Stegostoma tigrinum: one gene and its partner. Each later gene encodes a partner of the first gene's protein in a complex. Links are inferred from orthologs where the notes say so. Each region holds a gene or a part of one and is shown on either strand. Other genes may lie near its edges.

Evidence for each region.
Region 2: iqcd (region 1) and iqcg share a complex: the UniProt entries of both Homo sapiens proteins name them as parts of the nexin-dynein regulatory complex. The link is inferred for Stegostoma tigrinum from reciprocal best matches to the Homo sapiens genes DRC10 and DRC9.

The regions. Positions count from the first base shown.
Region 1 is NC_081379.1:29,975,592-29,983,116, forward strand, and holds the start of iqcd (dynein regulatory complex protein 10), read right to left. Parts: upstream 3,095-7,525; 5' UTR 3,013-3,094; intron 1-3,012. Other genes in the region: tpcn1 (two pore channel protein 1), read left to right, coding at 3,328-3,430. UniProt on the Homo sapiens protein: Component of the nexin-dynein regulatory complex (N-DRC), a key regulator of ciliary/flagellar motility which maintains the alignment and integrity of the distal axoneme and regulates microtubule sliding in motile axonemes.
Region 2 is NC_081367.1:48,502,510-48,510,427, reverse strand, and holds the start of iqcg (dynein regulatory complex protein 9), read right to left. Parts: upstream 3,094-7,918; 5' UTR 3,018-3,093; exon of another isoform or gene 2,996-3,017; intron 1-2,995. Other genes in the region: psmd1 (26S proteasome non-ATPase regulatory subunit 1), read left to right, coding at 3,414-3,429. UniProt on the Homo sapiens protein: Component of the nexin-dynein regulatory complex (N-DRC), a key regulator of ciliary/flagellar motility which maintains the alignment and integrity of the distal axoneme and regulates microtubule sliding in motile axonemes.

The DNA of each region.
Region 1 (7,525 bases):
ACATGTACTAGACAGAGGGAGACCAATCGACTGTAATGTCTACCCTATCTGCTAATCAAAATTAAACATGATGTGTTCTTTCCTTCTATCATATATTTAGGAGAAACAATAGGTCAACTTTTTTTCTCCTTTAGACTTTAAAGACTTCAAGCATTGAACACCATTTTCACTTAAGACATCAGATGCTGGTAGTATTGACTAGCTATACAAGAACCTCACTGATTAAAGGAGATCCAGTAATAGATGGTGCTTCAGGCAGGGATTCCCCCATCAGAACAGTATCAGCCACATGGCCGTCAGCCCTGAGATCAAAGTCTGAAGAAAGATGTAGTGGTTTTTGTTGAAGTTCATCCTGAGCAGCTCTGTGACACAGGACCACGTGCTCTAAGGTCTGTTCTCCAGGACGTACACCATGACTGCACTTGGAGGACCATCAAATTGGTGAAAAATGCTGTTTGTTCTGCTCAAAACTTGTTGGTCTTCTAGAACAAAGAGTTGACCTCAACTGAGTGTTGCAGACGGGCACATTTCAAGGTCTGGGACTATGTAGTGAGGGATGCACTAAAGTTTGGGGCAGCTGTTGCCAAGGCACAGTGGGAAAGACCACTGTCTGAGGTCCAAATGCCAAAGTTAAATTGGGGTCAGTTCAGTTATTGGACCCTCCTAGTGCCTCAAATGCTTCTATGGTTAATCATTAATATAAACAATAAACAGGATTTTAAATTAGCAATGTTGGTTAAGTGGTAAACATTAGGTAGTTAAACCACCCCAGTTCTTCTTCATATCAATGCCATGGGTTTTTCCTTTGTTAACATGACTGAGTAGATAGACCTCAGTTCAGCAATGTATATGAAAGACAGTACCTTTGGCAATGCAATGCAGTACTATATTAGATGGCAATTTTAGATTACATGCTTAAATCTCAAGTGGGACTTGAACCCACAATTTCTGACTTTGAGACGAGTATTACCAATATACCGCATTTAAATTGCAACATTGGCAGAAGAGACTTGATCTATAAATTTTATAAAATTATGTTAAAAAAAATCAGAGGATGCACTGCATGAGGTTGATGTGGATAACATATATTGATAGCATTTATTAAGATTTTATATTAATATGTAGGAGTGATACATTAGTATACTTCAAAAACAGAGGTAGTTTATAATAAAGTGAACTGTAATAAATCATATCAGTTCACATTATTAAAATAGTTTAGAATATATAGTAACACACTTCTGATTTTTGTTTAAACAGTTTTTCCTCTTTACACCCTCCATAAACTTGAGTTCATTCAAAACATCCTTGTCCTAACTTGCACGAAGTCCTGTTCATGTATCATTCCTGTGCTCACACATGCACATTGGTTCCTGGACCAGAAATGCTTCAATTTGAAGTCTCGTTCAACAACAAACACAGAGAATGCTGGAGAAACTCAGCACGTCTGGCAGCAAATGTGACATTCTCTGTATTTGCTTCAGATTCCCAGCAATTTTGCCTTTATTTAAGTGAAAATTCTCATTCTTGTGTTCAATCCCATCACTACTGCATTGCATTCTTTAGCCTTACAACCCTTTAATATTTCTGTACTCCTATAGTTCTGGTCTCTTGCACAGGCATGATATTCATCGCTCAACAAATGGTGCTTTTGCCTTTAGCCATGACTTTCCTCCCTCCTTGCCTGTCTCTTTCCTCCTTTTAATTAGATCCTTAATACCATTTGTCCCAGCATCTCCTTGTGTGGCTCAGTGTCAAATCTGTCTGATTGCTTTCCTGAAAAACACATTCCAAAGCTAAGCACTAACCTCCTCATTTGCTGAGTTTAGGGTGATAAGGCTGCCACTTAGTTTGTAAAGTTGACACTTGTCAGTAATGTGCAGGTTTATTTATATCTTTGTCAAATGTACTATCATATATAAATGTAAATTATATTTTTTTCATAAATGCTTAATTTCACAGAAACATTCTCCCACTGAAGTACATTAAACACCCATAAGTTGATTTCCACAAAGAATTATGATCACAGTTGCTATTTGAAAAATGATCAAAAAATCAGGAGGATAAGGGTTTTTAATACTTGAGCGAGGTATTTAGTGTTGATTTTCAGATCAAAACAATATATTATGTTCAATTTTCTAGCTGTAGCACATGGGTTGCAGCAGTTCAAGAAAGCAGTTCACCACCACCTTCCTGAAATCAACAAGAGAGAGGCAATAAATACTGGTCCAGCCAGTGATGTCCATATTTCACGAATTAATTTAAAAGTTACTTTACAATCACTAACTATAAAAAAGAATATATGCTGTGGATGGCTACCTGGAACTGAGTCAGAAGTCTCTCAGACCTAGTGCAGTCAACTTGATAAGTCATAATTAATGCCCTGGTGTTACGTTGATATGGGCTGCCTCAGATGACAGACTGAAGGGACAATAAGGATCCAAGGATCAAGAGGATACCTTGGAGTTTACTGATTCCCGAGACCATAAGGCCTAGCTCTCTAACAGGATGGACGAAAACTGTGGGTGGCTACTAATCTTCTCCAGGAATTCACAACAGCTCAAAAACATACCAATTCGGAGCCATTGGGCCCTTCAAACCTATCGCTGTTCTATAATGATCTGATTTGTTTATGTTTTGAATTCTACAGTTCCTTTTACTCGGATTACATTTGGATCCCTTGCCTAACAGGAATCGTAGTGATAGAGATTTTAACAGCGCAAAAAGGGCTCTTCGGTCCATCTTATCCGCGTCAGTCATCAAACATCCATCTATTCGGATTCCATTTTCCATCACTTGGCCAGTAAGTATTAAGGATTCCTGACTCTAGAAACCTGTCGGGCAGTGAGCTCCGGATACTTTCTGATTTCTCAAATATTCTGCCTGAGAATATTCAACCTCGTCCTGAGGCACAGAGACCGTTCGTCAGCTCGTTTTAACGGGATCCCCCCCGCCACCGCCGACCCCGGTGCTTTCGGGTTAAAGGGTTCCTCTGCCGCGAACGGACGCACTCACCTATCTCCGCCCTTCTGTTTGCCAGCGACGGTTACTCCGTTGCTAAGAGACGGACGACCTTTTCCCTCTGACTCGCTGGCCGCGCCGTCCACGTGGGAGGAGGCGGGTTTCACGCGAACCTGTTGGACGCCGCGCTTTTGATTGACGTTTCCTCTCGAGTGAGCCCGCCGGACCGACCGTCGGCCTGGACCAATCACCGACAAGGTGTGGATCAGGGTCCCGCCCTCTGCTCGCTCGTCCTTCCCGCCTCCCGCACACTCCCAGCGTCGTTCTTCGGCGGCGGCGACAGTTTGGGGTGTGGGGGTATACCGGACGATGGCGGTGACGCTGCCTGTCGACGATGATGTCCCTTTAATCTTGACAGACGACAGCACGGGGATCAGTGCCGACCCAGACAGAGAGGAAATCCCCAACGAAAGTAGGCAATATGATCGGTTATACTTTTCCATGTCAGAGCTTTCGGGTATGCAACTTTCTTGACCCCTGGTGGCTGTTAGCGCCACGATCTGCGTCTTTTTTTATTTGTCCGTTTATTCAGATCAAGTTGTCGGAGATTCTGCTCCGCGTGTTGATCACCTCAAAGAGGGCGAAAACTCACCGGAATCTGCTTTAGCGCCCCGGCAACCGACTGGCTTAGTTGTCAAACAGCAAATTAAAAACGTCTTTCTGGTTGCACTTGACAGTTCAGGTAGCATCTGCGGTGGACTGGTTACCCTTTGAGCACCATCAGCTTTCGACAGAGCTAATGTTGAAAGAAGATGAATACCTCAACAAAGTTAACCATTCTTTGCCATTGAATTAGATTATTGAAAAGAAGGTCCATTTGGACCTTTTGGCCCATCTTGCTTGTGCTGGCTCTTTGAAAGCCTTGCAAAATCTGGCCCTTCAAGTCTGAAAGCCATAATTAAATCTGTTTCCTCTGCTTTGCAATGCGTTCCAGATCATGACTTAGTTTTCCAGAATGTTACTTTCTTCAGTGCTGAATTAAATAATAAGAATGAGACTACTGCAGTTTCTGTTACTTTGCAGCTGTTTCAGCGTCGTTTGTGTTGTTAGGCTTTGTAATTTAACGGGCTAGAGAGGACAGCTCTCTCTTTTATTTAGTAATAAAATCAGATTACAACTCTGACTTTGATCTTCCAGTGCTTATTTGCAAACCCTATACTTTTACCTATATAAAACCAATTGCTATCAATCATTAGCTATCCTTGGGGCAAAGGGATTTCAGAATCCTGAAGGATATTGAGGCCAATTGTATTTTTTTCCAATGAAGTCGTATTCCTTTCTTAGTGTATGCCTGGCAGAGCTTCACTGGAAATATTCTTGGTGTTGCAATTTCTTCCTCATAGCTGTGAATCTGATTTTTCTGCTTTTAATAACTTGAGTGTCCTTTCTCTCGGTGCCATGGTGGTTAGAGTACAAAGTTTTGTAGAAATTTATGATTGTATTTTATAAATAGGAGAAAAGTATAACATTCTCAAATGCAGGTTGATAAAGAAATTGCAACAACAACTGCATTTTTACTTTTTTTTCATGAGATATGGACATTGCTAGCTAGGGTAGCATTTATGTCTCCCTCAATTCCCTTGCAAAGGTGTTGACTGCCTTCTTGATATGCTGCACTCTGTGTGGCGCACTCCATGTGGTGTAGGTACACTCACAATGTGGGATTTTGACACAGTGACAGTGAAGAAATGTCAATATAATTCCAAGTCAGAAACATCACACCTTTAATGCAATAAAACCTCTCAAGGCACTGCATAGGAGGAATTATACATGTTATCCCTGCGGTTCAACCTTGAGAAGTTTGCTGTCTGTTCATCTGTATCCTCACTATCTAAACATTAAATGTAAACTCTCAACTTTGATTTCCATTCAAATATGTACAGCTTTACGATTAGTCATATTAATTTACATGTGCTACCTATTTGCCCACTCCATGAATAAGTTTTTTTTTGTCTTTCTGAACAACAGCATTTCACAACTTCTTCGTGTTCTTAATCTAAAAAATATCACCAGCCTGTTCACAGAAGGATAATAAGACAAACACTAACACTAAATCAGCAGATGTGTGACTAAAATGCTTGGTCAAAGAGATACCTTAATTTTGAAGAGGAACTAATACATTTAGGAATTTAATACCATAGTATTCAGCCTAGACACCAGATGGTGCAGTTACCAGTGTTGGGGCAAAGGGATTTCAGAATCCTGAAGGATATTGAGGTGAAGAGATACAGTCCTCTTTAGAGGGCTTTATAATTACAGGAGGCAAGAGAAATATGAAAAAAAGTCAGGGAAGGATTTAATCACAAGGGTAGGAATGTTGAGTTTGAAACATTTGAGGTACCAGAAGCCAATATAAGTAAGAGAGCACAGAGATGCTATGTGAATGGGGTTTGGAGCAAACTGGAATATGGGCAGAATACTTGCAGTTCTTGCTAAATTTGTTTGACATCTGCATATTTGGAAACCTTTCTTGTTGCTGAGTGTAAAGAATTAATATGTACTGAGAACAAAAGTGGACCTAACATGCACTCCAGGCTATAGTACTTCCAACTATTTTATCCAAGCAACAGCTAATTACTCCAACTCATTACTTATTGTTCTTAATCCATCATTCTGTTTATATTGTTTCACTTTTTAAACCATTTACCTGGCAGTTCTTGCACACAATGGTAGTATCTCTATCTCTGTGCCAGAATCTCCAGGTTGCAGTCCACCTCCAGATTTGATGACCATGAAAGTTTTGTCTTACATGGTCAAACAGGTAAATTATCAATCTGCAAAGCCTTCTGATATGTTCTGGCATGGAGAAAAAGTGGGAGAGTTTCATGGTCAGCAAACATTGTATGGTAGGTCCAATGCAATGTTCCCCCATGTTAAAAGAGTCCATGCTCAGGTTTTTGCCATGAGCAAGTATTAATCGTGTTATGAGTGACTGCGCACAAACACACGTGCTTTACATCCGAATCTTTCTAGCATTCTTTCTTAAAACCTCTGAAATTCCGTATTTATACATCTATGGCATTCCTTTTTCCCTATCCAGTCTGTAACCACTTTGAAAAGACTGTATGAAATACATTTGTCAAAGATTATTTGCCTTCAAATCATTTTTAATGGTCAGTAGTTTTATTTCAAATTATCGATTTGTCTGTTTTTTTTATGCATGATGTTGCCCTTATGCTTCTGCCCTGTAGTTGTCTCTTTCTTCTGTCTTAAACAACATTCTTTTCCACATCAGAATTTGTCTTCTAAAGAATTGGAAAAGTTATAATTGTAGTCTCTAAATCCTGCTCAGAACAGTTCCAGCAATCTAGGGTGAATGCCATTTGATCCTGATGTCTTATCCATTTTGAGTCTTGGTTTTCCTTTCCATTTTTTGTGCCCCTGTGATGAATTTGTCCTCAGTTCCATCATTTTGGTAAAATAAAATCGATTCAATATACTTATTTAATGGCCCACAATTTTCCAGAGTGTAGCATCTAATGGCAGGCCCCCTTTGGTTAGACGTTTTCCCAGACTTTTAATTTTGAAAAATACTTAGATATAAATTGCTGTAAGAGTGGAATGACAAAGGCAACAGGGGCATTAATTGAACAACGGAACTAACAACAAAAACAGAATTTGCTAGCAAAGCTTCGCAGGTCAGGCAGCATTTGTGAAGAAAAAATCGAGTTGATGTTTCAGGTCCATTGACCCTTCCTCAGAACCAACAGTCTATTTCCATAAGCCATAAGACTTAATGATTGAGAAAGAAACAGCATTAAAGAAAGAAAGTAGTATTAATTAAACTTGCATTGGATATAGAAATAGAAATGAAGAGAAAAGATAGAAAGGAAGCAGAAAAGAAAAAACTTTTAAAAATCTTTAGCACTAATTTACCATCTGCAAAAGTGAGACTGTACAGTTTAGTTTTCCCTGTCTTATTGTATAGTTCAGTGCAGGATCATATATCTCATCATTGAAAAAGTAGATATTCTGTTACTTCCTGACCAAATATCTTGCAGCAAATTTCTTTGGCAATTAATGTCAAATTCCACAAGTTTTCAGATTTTTGAGATTAGCCCTTCAGAAAACTGTGATATCTCTTATTGAATTCTTTGAAGAGGTGACCAAACACGTGGATGAAGGTAGGGCAGTGGAGGCAGTATACACAGATTTAAGTAAGGCGTTAGATAAGGTTCCCCATGTAGGCTCATGCAGTAAGTATGGAGGCATGGGATAGGGAGAAAAGTAGCAGATTGGATTCGGAATTGGCTGACTCTTAGAAGACAAAGGGTGGTAGTGGATGGAAAATATTCAACGTGGTGCTCAGTTATGAGTGGTGTACCACAAGGATCCGTTCTAGGTCCTCTTCTATTTGTGATTTGTAAATGATTGGATGTAGGAGTGTAAGGGTGGATTAGTAAGTTTGCAGACAGTATGAAGGTGGATCGAGTCATGGATAGTGCGGAGGGCTGTTCTAGGTTGCAAAGGGACATTGATACGATGCAGACCAAGCAGCATCTTAGGA
Region 2 (7,918 bases), on another chromosome or scaffold:
ATTGCTATCCACTTAGTCTAAGTCTCTCAGTCCTAAATAAAACAAATATTAGGAATAACCAATAGACCAAACAACTACAATTTTCAAGTCCAGCAACATTCTCATTAATTTCATCACACCTCTTTAATACAATCATGTGGTGACCAAAACTAGAGTTGGGGCCTAATGAGATTTTACACAGTTTCTGTGTAAGCTTCCAGCTCTTACTATACACCTTAGTTTATAACACAGGAGTAATAAATAGAATCTGGGAGCTCTAAGATGTATGTGCATGCACAGCCAGAACTACGCTCTGCAATCACCGCTTAGCACACCAATCCAGATTGGAGCATTAACTTCTGGTACAAGAATTTGCTGTAGTGCATGGACTGCTGAGGTCTGCATGGAACAGACTCTGAATTTTCAAAATGATAATTTTTCAAAAAAAAGTAAACATTTTTAAATGAGAATAATTACCTGTATCACTGGAACGACAACACTAAATTTTAAATAATATCACCACAAAGATGATTGATCTTGGTCTCCTGCTGAGTTTAAGGATTGCAGCTTCTAGTCTTTAGGACAGTTCTTTCACAAGACGTGCCCTGATAATATTCTAGCACTATTCCTGAAGGCCTCCTGCAGTGCCACAATGATGCCACCCGAAGGTTGCAGAAACAGCAACTCATTTCACAATGAGTGAAAACAGCAGGCCAAACAGCATCTTAGAACAGGAAGGTTGACCTTTTGGGCCTAGACCCTTCAGAAATCGGGGAGGGGAAGACAGTTCTGAAATAAAAAGGGACAGAGGGGGAGGCAGATTGAAGATGGATAGAGGAGAAGATAGGTGCAGAGGAGACAAACAAGTTAAAGAGACGGGGATGGAGCCAGTGGGGGTGAGTGTAGGTGGGGAGGTAGGGAGGAGATAGGTCAGTCCAGGGAGGACAGACAGGTCAAGGGGGTGGGATGAGGTTAGTAGGTAGGAAATGGAGGTGTGGCTTGAGGTGGGAGGAGAGGATAGGTGAGAGGAAGAACAAGTTAGGGAGGTGGGGAAGAGTTTGGCTGAGTTTGGGATGCGGTGGGGGGAGGGCAGATTTTGAAGCTTGTGAAGTCCACATTGATACCATTGGGCTGCAGGGTTCCCAAGCGGAATATGAGTTGCTGTTCCTGCAACCTGCGGGTGGCATCATTGTGGCACTGCAGGAGGCCCAGGATGGACATGTCGTCTGAGGAATGGTGGGTGTGATGAAGCTGGAGGGGTGTGTGAAGCGGACAAGAGTGTCACGGAGAGAATGGTCCCTCCGGAAAGCAGACAAGGGTGGGGAGGGAAAAACGTCTTTGGTGGTGGGGTCGGCTTGCAGATGGTGGAAGTGTGGGAGGATGATGCGTTGGACTTGCACATCCGCTAATGTGGTATACTGCATCTGCTGTACCCGTTGTGGCGTCCTCTACATTGGGGAAACCAAGCAGAGGCTCAGGGACTGCTTTGCAGAACACCTATGCTCGGTTCGCAATAAACAGCTGCACCTCCCAGTTGCAAAGCATTTCAACTCCCTCTCCTATTTCTCAGACGACATATCCATCCTGGGCCTCCTGCAATGCCACAACGCTGCCACCCAAAGGTTGCAGGAACAGCAACTCATTTCACAAGCTTCAAAATCTCTCTTTCCCCCCCCACCACATCCCAAAATCAGCCCAGCTCATTCCCACCTCCCTAACCTGTTCCTCTGCCCTATCCCCTCCTCCCACCTCAAGTTGCACCCCCATTTCCTACCTCCTAACTTTATCCCGCTCCCTTGACCTGTCCGTCCTCCCTGGACTGGCCTATCTCCTCCCTACCTCCCCACCTACACTCACCTTTACTGGCTCCGCCCCCGCCTCTTTAATTTGTTTGTCTCCTCTCCACCTATCTTCTCCTCTATCCATCTTCAATCTGCCTCCCCCTCTGTCCCTTTTTATTTCAGAACCCTCTTCCCCTCCCCCATTTCTGATGAAGGGTCTAGGCCCGAAACATCACCTTTCCTGTTCTTCAGATGCTGTTTGGCCTGCTGTGTTCATCCAGCTCCACACCTTGTTATCTCCGATTCTCCAGCATCTGCAGTTCCTATTATCTTGAATATTACTGAAGACTTGTGCACCAGAATTTGCTGCACCCTAACTAAGATGGTCAAGTAAATCTATACGATAATGTTGGAAATTGCATAAGTATGTCCTGCTCACAAAACGCAGCCCAAATCCAACCTGTCCAATTACTGCTCCATCGACTCTCAATCAGCAAAGTTAAGGAAGGGGTCAGTGACAGTGCTGTCAAGCAGAACCTACATGACAATAACCTCTGCACTGATATTCAGTTCAAATTCCATCAAGACCACTCCATTCGTGATCTCATTAGAGCCATGGGCCAAACACTGATAAAACAGCAGAATTCCAGAGATGATGTGAGAGTGACTGTCGTTATTACAAGGCAGCACTTGACTGAAACTGCCATCAAGGAGTGCTAGCCAAACTTGAGTCAATGGAAATCAGGAAAAGAATGCTAGCAAGACTACAGTCAATGGAAATCAGGAGAAAACTCTCCATTGGTTACAGTGATATGTATCACAAAGGAAGAGGTTTGTGATTGTTGGAGATCAATTAGCTCAGCACTAGGAAATCAATGCTGAAACTCCTCAGGGTGGTGTCCTAAGCACAATCATGTTCAGCAGCTTCGTTACCAAGGCAGTGCTGTTGCCTGCGCCAATATGAATATGCTTCCATTTGAGGAGTGTGCATTTTCATTCAAGTGATTTTAGATCAGAACTTCTTGCAGCTATCCGATAGCTTTCACATTCACAGGATGTCCCGAAACGCTTTATATGGGATATCGTTTGAAGCCCAGCCACTTCTGCAATGTAGGAAACACAGCAGCCAATTCATACACAGCAAGCTTCCCCAAACAACAGTTAAGCAATCGGATAAATGTTTCAATAATGTAACCTTTAGCAAATAGTGTTTAACTATGCCAGAACTATTTTACCATGGTATTTCCCGCGGTCTACCTGAATCTGTATTAAATTTCGTGCCCTCAATCAATGCAACCACTGGGTGAATCAGCATCTCCTGGGCAACCTGGGCCCCAACTACCGAGCTGGCTAAACTACTGCCTGTCATTTAGTCGGGGATGGGCATGGTTTTAAAAGGTACTAGGGAAACAGTTATTTTTCAATTTAAAACAAATCCATAACAGTGTTTTTGTTTTAAATAATTCGTACCTCTTTTGAAGCTATTGGTTATTGTTCGAGAAGCAGGCGCGTGGAGGGGCGGGTGGTACGAGGACCTCTCCAGCCTGAACTGCGCGGAGGGATTTTGTGAACATCACTGAGTCAGTGCGGTGGTACTGAGATCGAGACCAGGACCGGGAAACAGCGAGGGATTGCCCCTCTTTCACCGACATCATGATTACCTCGGCCGGTGAGTCCCTCAGGCCTCGTTTCCAGTCACCACCAGAACCGGATGAAACTAATTGCTCTCCAGCTGGGCCTCTGCCTGTCGGTTCCCACCATCCATTGAACCCCTCCGACGTGTGGTTTCTGGGCCTTGTCCCGGTCCTTTCCTGAAACCGAGCAGCTGAGTCACTGAGGCCTGCGAGTAGCTGCTAAGGGTCCCTTTCGCTCCCCAGCGATCATCGCCAGGCTTCACTGATCTTCGGCTGTTGAACTGTCATGTCGAAAAGTTCTGTGCGTAGGAAAGTATGACTTTCTCTAGGAGTTTGAGTGTAATAGAAGCACCTGGAATACTCCATGTCCCTAAAGTTACACCAGTATCATTGAGATACGTGTGTTGTTGATACTGGGTCGACAAGCACAAGGTTCTTTTGAGTTTATGTTGCGCGGCCAATAAATCCAGGACAGTGACAACTTATGTGCAGGCAGACATAAAATGGTGTGAAGATAGACGTGAACTGTCATTACACTCTTAAATCGACAGCAATATCATAAATGGATGATTATTCCTAAATTAAAGTCAACAGGAGAGTGCTGTAACAAGGGTGGACTAATAATGCAGTGTTAGTGGAGTGATTAGGGGTGAGTGCAAGAACTTGTATTTATTTAACAAAGCAATTGTTCAAAGAAAGAACTTAGAGGGGAGATGGCAGTCTTATAAAGCATCTAATTGTATAATCATTCATAGTGGGGCAGGAAGGAACAAACTGTTCAACATAGAAAAACAGTAAATAGGGTCTAAGATAGAAAATGGTAAAAAGGCAAAATCGATGCTCTTTACTTGAATGTATGTTTGGAACAATATGAATAAAGGCATAATTACAGGTTAATGGTTGTGGTCTTATAGTCATTATGGAGATGTGGTTCCATAGAGGGAGAACCTGGCCACTAAATATTGAAGAGTATGTGACTTTTCAAAAGGATAAGCAGGAAGGAAGGGGTGAATGGATAGTATTGTTCATACAGGATGGAATAAGTATGAAAGCAAGAAATGACCTTGATTTGGAAGACATAGAATCCAAATGGGTGGAGGTCAAAAGTAGAAAGGTGAAGCAGATACTACTAAGAGTAGCCTTATAGGGTCCTTAACAGTAACTATATGTCAGGATCGATAATAAAGCAGGAGATAATGAGGGATTGTTTAAAAAAACTGTAAATTAATTGTGAGTAACTTTAATTTTCTTGTTGATTATGATAGTCAGATCAGCAGAAATAACCGTAAAGAAGAATTCATAGCATGTATTTGGGACAATTTACCTGGAGTATATTGTAGATCTAAACAGGGATCAGGCTGTTTTGAATCTGGTGATGTGAATGAGAAAGGTTTAAAAAATGTCAATATAAAGGATCCCTTTGAAAGCAGTGACTGTAACATGGTAGAGTTTAGCATTTAGTTTGGGAGAAGCTTATTACAAAACCAATTATGCTAAATTTTAATAAGGGTAGTTATAAAGCAATGAAGGCACAGCTAGATGGAGTGGGTTGGGAAAGCAATTTAGTGGCAAAGACAGTTGAACAATAGCAGACTTTTAAGAAAATGGTTCATCGCTCACAACAAAGATATAACCCAATGATAAAGAAGGATTCTATGCAGGTAGTGAGCAGGCAATGGTTAAACAGGGAGCTTAAAGATAGCATCAAAGTGAAAGGAAAAAACAGAGTGGCAAGGAGTAGTGGTAAACAGAGTCAGAGTCATAGCTCTCTGATGAAGGGTCTAGGCCCGAAACGTCAGCTTTTGTGCTCCTGAGATGCTGCTTGGCCTGCTGTGTTCATCCAGCCTCACATTTTATTATCTCAGAGTCATAGCCACCTGCTTGGCCCTGACCCATAACCCTTTTTATTCATGAACTTATCCAATGTATTTTAAATGTCGTAACTGTTCCTGCATCCACCATTTTCTCTGACAGTTGATTTCATACACAAATCACTCTGCAAAAAAAAGTTGGCCCTCAAACTTTTTAAAACATTCTCCTCTAAGGTTTTTAAAACCAGCAAAAGCAACACAAAAAAGCGAGACAATTAACTTTGAAGGTAAAATTGTAAATAATATCAAGATGGACAGCAAGAGTTTCTTTAAGTATATGAGAAGGAAGAGAGGGGCTGAAGTAAACATAGGCCCTTTTAGAGAATGAGTCCTTAGGTTTTGGAAAAGACCATAAATTTATTAGAATTCTTTGAACTGGTAACAACCGGAACAATTAAAGGGAAACAGTGGATTTAATGTGTTTGAATTTTTAGAGGGTTCCACACATTTGATGCAAATCTATGGGGGTGGTGTATTAGCATGGATAAAGAGTTTTCTAGACATGGGGGCATTTTCAGAATGGCAATGTTTAATTATTGGAGTGTCACAGATGAATGCTGGATCAACAATTTTTTACAATATATGCTGGTGACTTGGATGAGGAAAGTGAATTTGTAATAGCCAAGTCTGTGTATAACACAAATAGGTGGAAATGCAAGTGGTGTGGATTTCACAGTCTGCAAAGACATATAGATAGATTAATGTTGTGGGCGCAAGGAATGTAATGAGGGATAATGTGAGGTTATGCACTTTGGCAGCAAGAATAGAGAGGCTGAATATGTTTTAAATGGAGAAAGACTGCAAAAAGCCACTACAGCATAGGGATTTGGTAACCTTTGTGCATAAATCGCAAGAAGCTGGCATCCAAGCTCAGGTAGTAGGGAAGGCAAATGGAATTTTGGCCTTTTATTTTAAGAGGAATGGAGTGTAAAAATAGGAAAGCCTTATTAATTTACAAGGCATAGTCAGATTACAGCTGGAATACTGTAAATAGTTTTGATCCCCTTATCCAAAGAAAGATATACTAGCATTGAAAGCAATTGAGAGGTTTACAAGGTTGATCCTAGCTAGGGAGAAACTGTCTGATGAGAAGATATTGAGTACTTTGGCTCTGTCCTCATTGGATTTCAGAAGATTAAGAGGTGATCTTGTTGATGCATACATGATTCTGAGAGAACTTGACAGAGTAGATACGGAAAAGTTGTTTCCCCTTACCGAAGAGTCTAACACTGTAGGGTGTAATCTCAGTATGCGAGTTGCCAGTTAGGACAGAGATAAGGAGGAAATTATTCTTAGAAGGTAATGAATCTGTGGAATTCTTCACAGCTAGAATGCTTCCAAGGCCAAGTCATTAAGTGTATTTGCGGCTAAGACAGATATTTTATTATGTGAGGGAGTATGGGGTTATGGTGGAAAGGCAGGAAAGTGTTGTTCGGGGCTATCAACCATGATCTCTTTGCATTGTAGAGCAGACTCAATGGGCTGAATGGCTTACTTCTCCGTTAATGTTTTATGGCTTTCTATTTTTATGAGCAGTGGGCCACAGATGAGCATTGACAGAGAATTTTAGGCAAGAACCGTAAGTTGGCAATAGGAAAGACTAAGGGGTTTAAAGAAAGAGCTGCACACAATTAAGGCTGAGTGTCAATGGTAATGGTTAAGAGTACTGGCGAAAGTGTAAATGAGAAGATGCATGCTGGAAATGACAGCTAATCAAGCAGCATCCATGGGGAGAGAGCAAACTCATGTTTCGCGTCTAAATGACACTTCTTCAGAGCTGGTGAAGAGTCTTCTAGACTCGATGTTAGTTTTCCCCCTCCCCCTCTCTACACTGTGATTTTCAGCAATTTTTGTTTTCAGTGCAGATTCCAGCATCTGCAATAATTTGCTTGTACATATGTAGGGAGAGTTGAGGAACTGAAGAGTATGGAAGTCTGTTGGGGTTTGAAAGCCAGCTCACAATTTAGAGGTTAATGCAGTGATGGGTTGAGAACCTATGTCGGACAGTAAAGACTAATGTAATGGATGAATGGAATTTAATGGTTGAAAAGATTTGGTGTTCTGGTTTTGGAGCATTTCAAATTTTTGAAGAGACCAGCAATCATAAAGTTGGTAAAATTGTATTGTTGGCAATTGTAAAGAAAAGTTTTGAATTAGATTTCAGCTGTGTAGGAGCTGATCTCAGGAAGGGAATTTTGCAGGAGAGCAATGGATAGTCGTAATGTCAACAGAATAGTAATCCAGAGTTTGAAGTTCATGTTCTGGGGACAAGGTTTTAAATCTCTGGCAGATTTGGATTTAGTTAATAAAAATCTAGAATAAAAATTTGTCTTTTGTGACCATTGCTTCTGAAACTCCTGTTCTGCTCATTAATGAGGGAAGGAAATTTTCTAATCTCTCTAATGAAGGAAATCTGCTATCTTTACCTGATCTGACCTACTTGTGACTCTCGCCCACATCAATGTGGATGACTCTTAACTGCCTGATGGTGTCGATGGGGAAGCGGTTCAGTATTTTGACTGAGTTACAATGAAGGAACAGTGATATAATTCCATTTATCCAAGAAGATTGCAACAGGATTTTGGAAATGAATGATTGTACATTGTTAGTAATAAATCAGTTTGGAAAGATATAGGAACAAGAGTCTGCTGTT